Linked DNA regions of Mus musculus: regions 1 and 3 are each reported to be linked to region 2. Evidence: microRNA targets listed by miRTarBase, many of them from high-throughput screens and not tested one by one. Region 2 holds a microRNA gene; each other region holds the end of a gene's coding sequence.
The links. Region 2 holds the annotated microRNA mmu-miR-10b-5p (UACCCUGUAGAACCGAAUUUGUG, at 2,681-2,703, opposite strand). A microRNA usually pairs through its seed, bases 2 to 8, with sites in the 3' UTR of a target mRNA and lowers its output. Matches are read on the target gene's strand: a 7mer-m8 pairs with bases 2 to 8, a 7mer-A1 pairs with bases 2 to 7 and ends in A, and an 8mer does both.

Region 1 (3,000 bases), not on the chromosome of region 2:
TAACTTCATGTTCTCTTGCGCTCCCTCTCTCTCTCTCAAAAAACGAAAAAACTTGAACAGCAAAGCAAACAAACGAGAGAGAGAGAGAGAGAGAGAGAGTTAGTTCGAGGTCAGCCTGGTCTACAAAGTGAGTTCCAGGACAGCCAGGGCTATACAGAGAAACCCTGTCTCAAAAAAACAAAAACAAAACAAAACAAGGAAGGAAGGAAGGAAGGAAGGAAGGAAGGAAGGAAAGAAAGAAAGAAAGAAAGAAAGAAAGAAAGAAAGAAAGAAAGAAAGAAAGAAAGAAAGAAAATCAATAAAAAGACAAGCACACAGAGTCCATTTTATGTTAGCCAATTACTCCTGGGTCTGGGGCCTGCCCTGACGGGTAATGGATATGTCCAATAACACTCCACTGGAGAAAGCTGACTTCCCTTTCTCAGCAGCTATCTACTGCACAACCTCCCCTTCGTGGGGATCTCTGCAAACACCTTAACCAGCAGGGTGTTGATCCAAGAGAAGCAAGAAGAAAGTCTGTCTCAACGTGACTCAGTGGACAGTTTTTGTCCAAACTTCTGGAGTCTAGCACCAAGTAGTTTATTTTAGGCACAGCACAATTTCAAAATAGTTTCTGGTGATAATTAATCAGTCCTGTGTGTACAGAAAAGCTTAGGAGATGGCTATACTGAAACTCTTGTAGAGTACAAGCAACATCTTGCATACAGATAGGTTCTCTGAATTAACTGAGGAAGCAGGCTCAGGGAAAACAGTGGTCCTGATGAGGTTGGCAGGGAGGGCAGACTGCCGATTGACTGACATGAACTTGAGTCTGAGGGAGGCGGTGTGGCTTGGTGGTACAAATAGTGCAGAGACCACCAGCTACGAATCACATTGTTCCTGCCTTCTGGGCAGAAACAGGTTATACATCTCTCCCTCTGACGAGACAACCCTGAGGGTTGAACACTCCTGATTCCCACTGTGCTCAGGTGTGAGCACAATGGCCCACAACTTCGTCTCCCTTTCTCAGTGTTGGGACTCTGTCTGGTTTGAACCTGTGCTGTCAGCCACATGTGCACGGGTCCTGTTCTGTCTGGAAGATGCGGCTTCCCTGGAGCCCTTCACCACCTCTGGCTCTCACAGTCTTTCTGCCTCCTCTTCAGAACAGGTCCCTAAACCCTGAGGGGAGGGGTTTGACTACTATCCTCAAATACAGATAGATTATACTATTAGGTTACTCAAGAGTATACAAAGTAAAATAACCATGTTTTATAGCAGCTAATAAAATTATACCATGTTACATGTTTTGGAATTTATCTCTCTCCTCTCTCTCACAAGCAGGCAAACACACAATCTCATTACACAGCTACTACATACCTAGACTGGTTCAGAACATGTGATCCTTTGGCCTCCCCCACGCTAGTACTGGTATGGCAGGAGTTTTGCTACGTACGTTACAACCTTGCTTCAAATGTATTTAATAAATAAATAAATTCTATTTGCTCTTGTTACAAAAAAAGCTAGCTATATAAATTATAAATAAGTAATCTCACTAGGCAACCATTTTTTTAAGTTTTTTTTTTTGATTCTTTGTGAATTCTATATCATGCACCCAACCCCACTCATGTCTCCAGCTTCCTTATCTACTCTCTGCCCTTGCAATCTGTTCCTGCCAAAGAAACAAAAAACAAACAAACAAACAAACAAACATCTCCATAAAAGCTTGTGTGTGTCCCTCAGTATTTCCGTGTGCCCACACATCTTCACTCATTCACTTACATCTTTACTCAGTGCAATGGGTCATTGTCTGATCCGAGGCCTCTGGCTTCTGGTGCACTATAAATACTGGACCCTCACGGGGACCCTTCTCAGATACCCTGTTGTTGCCCTGTGTCATGGAGATCCTGCAGCCTTAGTTCTACAGGACCCGCCCCTTCACAGGCTCTGGCAGTTCACAGATGATATGGATGCTGGGGTGGGCCACCTCAAAGCCCCAAGTTGGTCATCCCTCCTGTTCCTGATCCTGAGCCAACCAGGGCAAGCTCCCCCACTCACTGTTGTGTTCTTGGGGCTGGCTCTACTGTGCTGCCCAGGCAAGGTACAGACTGCTCTCCCAAGCACTACAACCTTCAAGGAGTAGGGCTCATTCTCCTTCACCGAAGCCACTGCACAGCTGGTGAGGGTCAGGCCAGCCCTCCTGTGCTCATGGGTAACTATTTTTCTATCTAGATGTCTTACAAAGCATTAGACTGTAGATATTAAACAGACATAATGAAATTTGGTTTTGCAGAAAGAGAATATAAATGTGGAGCTGGGTCACAGAAATTGGTGGCCAATGTGAAAGTCCTGAAGCAATGGGTACTTAATGAGGTAATTACTTATTAAATGATTAGATGTGCCATAGAAACAATTTACCCAGTCGCATGACAAACTCAGGTAAGTCTCAAGTTACATTCAGTGTCAAATCTTGAACCACTATACACTATACACCCATACAATAACTTGGTATAACTTGGTAGATAACCTCCCCCCCAAAAAAACAAACAAACAATAGGTTTATGTCTTACTGTTCTCCACACTCTGGCAAAACATCCGACTAAGGAATGTAAGTAGGGAAGTTTAGAGAGGTAAAGGCACGGCGGCGGGAGTGAGACGTTTCCCAGGCACAGGGTTACGGCTCATGCCTGTGCACAGGAGAACCCTAGGCCAGGACTCACGGCAGAGCCAGAAGCAGCCAGAAGCAGCCGTAACCGCCAAGCTCTGCTCCAAGCCGCCACCCTGGATGATATACCAAGAACACCAACGGTCTGGGGTTCTCACGTAGGAGCCAGGATGAGTTTCTTCCTCAGAGTGTGCTGCAGGCTGAGGCTGTATTTCTCCTTAGACGAAACACCACTGTTCCACGCATACACTTTGTCCATGAGTTCAACGTGGAGGTCCACGAGTGGGCGTCTCCTAGAGGAAGAGAAAGGCAAAGTTTAAAGATGTGCAAACACCAAAGAGAAGACAGATTGTCATTAG
Region 2 (4,472 bases):
ACCCTTCCCCACTTTAGGGAGGGGGCTGCCCTCGGGCAGGAAGGTAACCTAGTCCGAGGGCGGCCTGCAGGTCCCAGGTCCACCCCCACAGTACCTTAGAGCCCAGTGAGGTGACAGCAGGCCCCGCCTGCACCCGCAGCTTCGCCTCAACCTGGAGTGCAAGAAGGGATAGGCCCAGGGTCCCCACTTCTATAAGGTCGTCAGGTCCGTATGGTGGTCCTTGGCCATTGGCTGCAAATGCTGGCCCGGGGCAGCTGAAGAGGAGCAGGAAGATGAGGAAGAAGACCTGCCCTTGGTGTTGGGCAGTTTGTGGTCTTTTTTCCACTTCATCCTCCGGTTCTGGAACCAGATCTTGATCTGGCGCTCAGACAGACACAGGGTGTGAGCGATTTCAATCCGACGGCGCCTGGTCAGATACCTGTTAAAATGAAATTCCTTTTCCAGTTCTAGGACTTGCTGTCTGGTGTAGGCCGTCCGGGAGCGCTTGGGCTCCCCGCCGGTGTAGTTGGGGTTCACTATGAGACAAAACATACAAGACAGCCAGGTCAGAGCCCGGCCACTAGTTAGGCCCCAGGCTTGCCTCTGCCCTCACTTCCTGGCGCGTCTCGCAGCCCTCGGGCCCCCCCTGTGCTCCAAGCTGGCCAGCTTCCTCCCTCCCGCCCTCTCCCTAAACATACACACACTCCCACCCAAGCCCTTCCATGCACACACTCCCCACGCTCACAGGTCCTCCTCAAAGGTTCTCCCTTGCCACTGGCCCACCAAGAGCTCGGTATCGCCAACATTTTGGAAAGGTCCTTGTTTTGCTCTGCGTTCCCTCTGCTGTGGAAATGGAGTCCTCCCCCCACCCCATCCCCATCCCCACCCCCTTTTGCGCCCACAGCCAAGCAGCCAGCCACATGGTCCCGGCCTGCTCCCTCAGCTATAAAAATTTATGGAGAGAGTAATTGCGGCGCCCAAGGAAGCTGCACAAGCCCCTACCCATTCGCAACCCCTGGGGTGGGGGGTGCAGGCCAAAAGATGCAAGGAGTGGTGCGGGAGGGCTGTGAGGTCGCTGCCCCCACTCCTTACCCGAATTCACGTGCACCTTCTTCATCCAAGGGTAGACCACAGCGGGCTGCTTGAGTGCTGTCCCGGGGGGCGGCTGCTTGGGGCCGGTGGGCTGGCTGCAGGCCCGAGCGCCAGGCAGGGGCGCAGGCGGGGGCGCTGGGCACCGCTCTCCCGGGGCACCGTAATGACTTCCCGGGCCGCTCGGCTCCTGTCCGTGACCCCTCGCGGGCAGCGCTGAGCCAGGCCCGGGCCCGCCGCCTCCGAAGGGTTGCTCGCCGAAGTCGGGCCGTGGGTAGAGCCCCGAGGGCTGGAAGTCGGCGCCCTGTGCACCGCTGCCGTAGTAGTCGGCTCCCTGCTCGCCTAGGTAGCCACCCTGCAAATATTCCTCGCACGGAGGAAACTTGGGGTCCACGTACTTAGAGTTCACCATATACGAACTCATGGCCATTAATTTCAGAAGGTAGAAAATACTAATTTTTCTCGTGTTGTCTTTTTTCTCCTTCCATTGGGCCCTCCTACTTGCTGTCAACTGAATAAAGTTGGGCGGCCATGTGACCAGGCCAGCCAATAGGAAGAAAGCATGTTTATCACCGGGTTGGTGAGCATCTCATAATTTTCACAAATTTAACTAAATAACATACGTGTAATCAAGTGACTTGCCATGCCACATTTGAGAGTCCCTGACAGATGCTAATAGAGTTCTAATTCTATCCCCGGGGTCCCAATTTCCGGCAGGTAATCTCGGCTTTTGTCTTCCACTGACTTTGCTAACCTCCCATGCCCTCCTTACTCACCATCGCCTGAAGCAGCCCCCAGAATGGACATAGTTCAAAGAAGAGTGAATTCTCCTACTGGGGTGCAAAATAAGGAAGAATGAGTGTGGGCAATGTGGCCTCCGAGTTGGGTAGAGTCCTAGGCAGGCAGGCAGGCTGCCCGGCCAGCTGGCAGGAGTCCTGGACTCTGACATACAAAGACCTGTCTTGGCTTTGTCTTCATCAGGGTCACCCAAAAGTTACCAGAATCTGGCGGACCTGAATTGAGTTAGGCAATGAGTAACCACTATGCTTTTCTGCCAATGCGCAGGCTGGGGTGTTTCTAGTTGAAGTTGGATCTTTCTGCAGGAGGCCCTCACAGTTCTGAGTCTGGTGGCTGAGGGGTTGGGTCATATTGGGATGGTGGGGAGGGGGACCTTAACCTTGCCTAAATGTACCCCAACGGTCTCCGATGGCCTATCTTTCAGTTTGTCTTCTTCCCACACAAGGGCAGGTGAGCCCCATTTGGGTACCTTTGTGTCTCATGCTCCTTCAGAGCAGGGCTTCTGCTGGAGCTTTCTGGCCTTTCACCTCACTCTCTAATACCCTAAAACCTGGCTCTCTGGCTTTACACTCAGACAACCACTTGAGCACCTACTGGAATATCTATAGGAGTTTCTCCAGGAAAAGGCTGTACAATTTCACCAGGCAAAGTCGATCATCCTGGAGTCTAAGGTAATGAAAAAGAAAGAGGTGGCTTGCCGGCTGGGCTGCCAGTACTCTCCGCGCCTCAGTCTCTGGCCATGTCGGAGATATATGAAGTTTTTGCATCGACCATATATTCCCCTAGAATCGAATCTGTGACTATGTGGGTACCACACAAATTCGGTTCTACAGGGTATATATAGACAACGTTACAACCTCGGGTCCTACCCAGAGCAGACATTCAGGCAGCTGCCAGACCTGATCTCTTCAGCACAGCCACCAGGAACTCACCAAGCCTGGCTTTCAGAGATGGTGCAGGTAGGCTCGGTGCATTTCTAAGTATTGCTGCTCGCTACAGCAATGAGTTCCCTCATCGGCTTGCCAGGATGGGGGCCACCAAGTAGCTGAGCAGCCAGGACCTTCTTCTTCTTAAAAAAAAAAAAAAGAAAAGAAAAGAAGGGGAGTTTTTTTTTCACCCCAGAGATGGCGGCTTAATTGCCCCTTCTCAGAACCCAAATCTCCCGCCCCCTTATCAAGTGGTATTTCCCAAAAAGAAGCAAAGGCCCTCAGCAGCAGAAAGGGAGTTTTGAAAAAGGCAAAAGGAATAGTCTTCACCAGAACCTAAGCCAAGTGAGTGGTCACAGCTAGTCCTCCTAGAATTCGAGCATTTACCTTTCTGGGCCCTCAGCCCCGCCGGACTTTCGGATCCCGCTGCTGCTGCTTCTGCTGCTGCTATGACTGCTGCTGCAGACCCGGAGGCAGGCGCTGTTTGCGGCCACCGAGCCTCCCTGGGCTGAGACTGTCGAGCTAATGGTGAAGGGCAGGGCGAGGGGTCATTCGAAATCATTTACAAACATATCACAAAGTTTCATTATTTTTGCTTTGCCGACAGCAGCACAGAAGAGTACAAAAGTTCGCGAATTTCGCCGCCCCAGCGCCTCCGCTGTCCTGGGCTTGCCCCTCAATTCAGGGCATCAAGAGCCCAGATGCACTCTGGGGCTGGGCTGATTTCAGGGGCAGAGGGATGCCCTGGCCTGGGCCGAGCTTATGGATGCCTGATAACAGATTGAAGATGTCCACATTTCTAAGTATTGTTTTGATCCCTTCCTATATAATTCGAAAAATCACTTTCAAGCCCCATGCCTTGATTTTGATGGGGTGGGGCAGGGAGACTCCCCTCATCATATCTGGCAAAATTAGGTGCTCACTTTGACCCTGTACTTTGCCCTTCCATGCCCTCCCACCATCTTTCACTTCCACTATTTTGCAGGGATTTCCCAGGTGTCAGTTCTAAAAAAAAAAAAGGGGGTTAAAATCCGTTTGTTTAAAGACTCTCCCCAGTTTCTCCTAATGCCAGCCCTTTCACCCATGGACACGTTGACAGGCCTTTCTGGGGACACTGGGCCTACCTCTGTTTTACCCAGACAAATTGGGGAAGTCCGATGGGTTGAGTGAGGACCAAGATGAGTACACACATTTTCATATTTGTTAGACATTGTGACCTGCATTTCACCTTATTGCTCGACTTGTTCAGACAGGTCAAAGCCAACAAGTTATTGATGAACAAAAGCGTTAAATATTCACCTCCCTCTCAACTGCCCATACAAATGCTTTTGATCTCTCCGGCTTTTTGTGCTGTGGGCAGCTACAAGGCGCCAGCAAGCAAGCAGCCTCAGCAGAGATGAGCCCTCACAGCCAAGGGTGCCAAGGAAGAGGGCAGGGGCAAGGCCAGAGAAAGTCTGGGGAGTCCAGATTTTTCACCATGGAGCCTGGTTCACTGTGTGCAGGCCTGGTTCATAGAAGGAACTACAAGCTGTAAAGGTCTTCACTTCCCTGTTAGCTCAGCCTCACCAGGGGCCCAGCAAAGAAACCTGGCCCTGAGCCCAGTCTCAGCTTCTCTGACCAGGAAGGGAAGACATCTCACAAGAGAGGGAGGATGCCTGGTCCCTGTGGTCCTTACCAATC
Region 3 (3,000 bases), not on the chromosome of region 2:
CTGGGGCATGATGCCACATGCAGCACCTGGCAGAAAGACGCAGGAGTACAGTCAAGAGGGACATTAGGAGTTCAATCAAGGTCATCCACACAGCAAGTTTAGAGACCAGCCTGGATCACATGAGACCTTGCTAAATTCCTGCTAAAAACAAAATAAACCCAAGAATTTCTCTATTAAATTATCTTATGACTTGAGCTTTTTTCTTCTTTTTACATTTCCTACTTTTGTAATCAGGTGAATCACAAGGAAAACGCCTTACTAAAGGAACTGAAACAGGAAAGGGTTAGTCTCTAGAGGTTGAAGTCTTCTCTGGGTGGTAGAGCACCTGTTGTTGGGAATTTATTTGGAGTGCTGAGCAGCCACAGTTCCGGTTGAAAAATCAGAAGAGTTGAATGATTGCTTGTGATTTGTATCTGGGTTTTGTTTTGAATGTGCTTAATTAGTTTACTTTTTTACTTTGCCTCTAGATCCCAAAAGGATAATCACTTACAATGAAGCCATGGATAGTCCAGATCAATGAAGGACCAGACTGCCTATTTGTAATCTTTCTGCAGCATTAGAGCCACCGTTCATGTGGGACACAAGGCTTTTATGCTCCTAGATCTTCAACGCAGCAGAGGAACCATAAGTAGAATCACAGGATAATATATACAAATATATATATATATATACATATATATATATAGTTATTTAAAAAAAGGCAACTGAAAGTAATTAGACTTCTTAAGGAATCAAATTTATTTCAAGAGACTACACATGGTTATTTAATCTCCGGTACTGAATAGTCCTTTTCTTTATTATTTTGTTAGTTTTTGTTTTTAAGTGTGAATGCAAGTGATTAATGAATACAGACTTAACAAGCGTGGTTCTAAAGTTCCTGCTGTCATCTACTTGGGCAACAAATGACCCACTGGAAAGGCAAATCCACTTACTTCTAGGTATCTGTACCTTGTTCTGTGACTAAAGTGATACACTAATCACGGGGAACCCAGAATGATTCAACATTTTCCCCTACTCCACCCTTGATCTTTTAGTTTTGAGCCCTGCGAGAATGCTGGATAAATGCCTTGAAGTTTGCAGGGATGTTTTTTGTTGTTTGTTTTTTGTTGGTTTTTTTTTGTTTGTTTTAATACAATGATTTGCATGTCTTGCCAAGAGTTCTGCAGCCTATGTGGGGTGTTGGGGAAATAGTTCCTTTCCTTTTATTTTTTGTTGGGTGGGGACAGGGGGAGGGCATTGAAGTTCTACAATCCTGGAATAGTTTGTGGGTATATAGTTAACTTACTTTGGTTACATGTTTGGACTTTTAACATCTAAGAGTGTCATTCAAAAAAAAGTTGCAGAACAAGTAATTGGCTGATAATTACCCATTGTAATTGTGTAACTGGGAGCAAAAATATATTCTGCTTTTCTGCTGTAGGTGCTCTGACTTGCTCTCTGTCACTAACACTAAGTGTATACTCTTGTTTTTCATCAACCATTTAAGAGAAACGTATGTACCTTTCTGTAAATTCTTTTAATTTCAGTTTCTCAGCAAAATCGAAAAAAGAAAAAAAAAATTAATGAAAACTGTCTTGTTTTTTTAGCCAGTGAGGAGGTAATAAATCCTGATTGTAGAAGGTGTGTTTTCAGGCAAATTCTGCTTCTGAGCTTACTTGTTTCTGATTATATCTTAATATATTTTATCATTAGAGCAAGATTGGGTTCCTTTGGTTATTTTTTTCTTTCTTTCTTTCTTTTTTTTTTTTTTTAAGAAAAATAATGTGAAATTCTGAATTTTGTTTTGGGCAGAAAGAGCATTAGCCCTGTCTTATCATCGCATTACCATCCTGTTGTGCTGCAGCTTGTGTATAGCATGCGCGCGCGTGTCTGTGTGTCTGTGTCTGTGTGTGTGTGTGTGTGTGTGTGTGTGTGTGTGTGTGTGTGTGTGTGTGTGTGTGTGTAGAAACGAAGGGTCCAATATAAGACTGGGTGATGTTAGTGGCATAAAAACAAGTTCTCTGGCCTGATGTAGCAACACATCACACACATAACACATACAGAGAAATCAATGTATCCATGTATGTCAAATACAAGTTAAACTAGCAGGGCATTTATACAGTTGCAGTCTTCTAACAAAGGCAAACTGGATCCCCTAGACACTTTTGGGGGAGAAAGTAGTTACTTTTTACTCTTGTTTTCTAAGAAATGTCCAGTTTTGAGCGATTGTAGTGTGGATGGATTTTCTGGTTTTGTTAACTATTTCAGGTTTTTAACAAATGTTCATGAAAGAAGCTATTTGATTTACTGCAGAGAAAAATACTTTTTAGTCTGGATTTCTGCCCTGCTTAGATTTTTTTTTTTTAAGTATAAGCATGGATTGCCAATTCCACTTGATGTAAACAAAACTTTTTATACATAATATATATAATAACTTATTGTATCAGTCCAGGTTCAGAAACTTGTGGTAGGCCAGTTTCAGATAGTTTCATTTCACCTGTAAACTGTATCACTTTTACTGATATTGTAATTTTCAAATGTATAATATGTTTACAGATGTGCCCTGCATTTAGTCGCTTTGTTCCTATTTTGATTTTTTGTTTTTGTTGTTTGTTTTTGTTGTTGAGTCTCCTGCCTGCTTGCCAAAAGCTAGGATGCTTCAGGCCGGTGTACATCAGTGAGGCATCCTTGAGCTTTAAAGCATTGAACAAACTGGAAAATGCAACACGCCACATATTGAACTGAGTCTGTGTTTTGTGTTCTTTTTTTTTTTTTTTAATAAAAATTTTCAGAAAATTTAAAAAAAAAATCTTGATTAAAGAAAAACGAGGCTCCAGTTTGTTTTATAGGTTTTAAAGTTCTGCTGTGTGTTTAATTGCCTTGTGTGACCACTTGTCGCCTTAGGGCTGAATCCTTACCCCACTTTTTTTTAAATGTCCATTTTGCTTGCCTGGAATTTAAAAGTTCTTCTGTTGCACAAATCACAAAAACAAAACAAAAATATATTTCCTTGGTTTATGT

Region 1: miRTarBase lists Cflar as a target of mmu-miR-10b-5p. Seed matches in the 3' UTR shown: 8mer at 1,853-1,860 and 7mer-m8 at 162-168.
Region 3: the mRNA of Nufip2 is a reported target of mmu-miR-10b-5p. The part of its 3' UTR that is shown has no 7-base or 8-base seed match.

What each region holds. Positions count from the first base shown.
Region 1 is chr1:58,753,718-58,756,717 of GRCm38, reverse strand. It overlaps Cflar (CASP8 and FADD-like apoptosis regulator), which reads right to left. Exons shown (of 10, transcript NM_207653.6): 10 at 1-2,934. The coding sequence ends at 2,796. Among named protein-coding and RNA genes, the nearest start is that of Gm39646, 37 kb to the left of the region's middle.
Region 2 is chr2:74,724,305-74,728,776 of GRCm38, reverse strand. Mir10b (microRNA 10b) reads right to left here and starts at 2,707; the gene lies at 2,640-2,707. All of the region lies in intron 1 of Hoxd3 (homeobox D3), which reads right to left. It overlaps Hoxd4 (homeobox D4), which reads right to left. Exons shown (of 6, transcript NM_010469.2): 4 at 2,799-3,314; 5 at 1,072-1,901; 6 at 1-515. The coding sequence starts at 1,498. The coding sequence ends at 190.
Region 3 is chr11:77,709,216-77,712,215 of GRCm38, forward strand. Nufip2 (nuclear fragile X mental retardation protein interacting protein 2) reads left to right here. Exons shown (of 4, transcript NM_001024205.2): 4 at 468-3,000. The coding sequence ends at 520. Among named protein-coding and RNA genes, the nearest start is that of Cryba1, 15 kb to the right of the region's middle.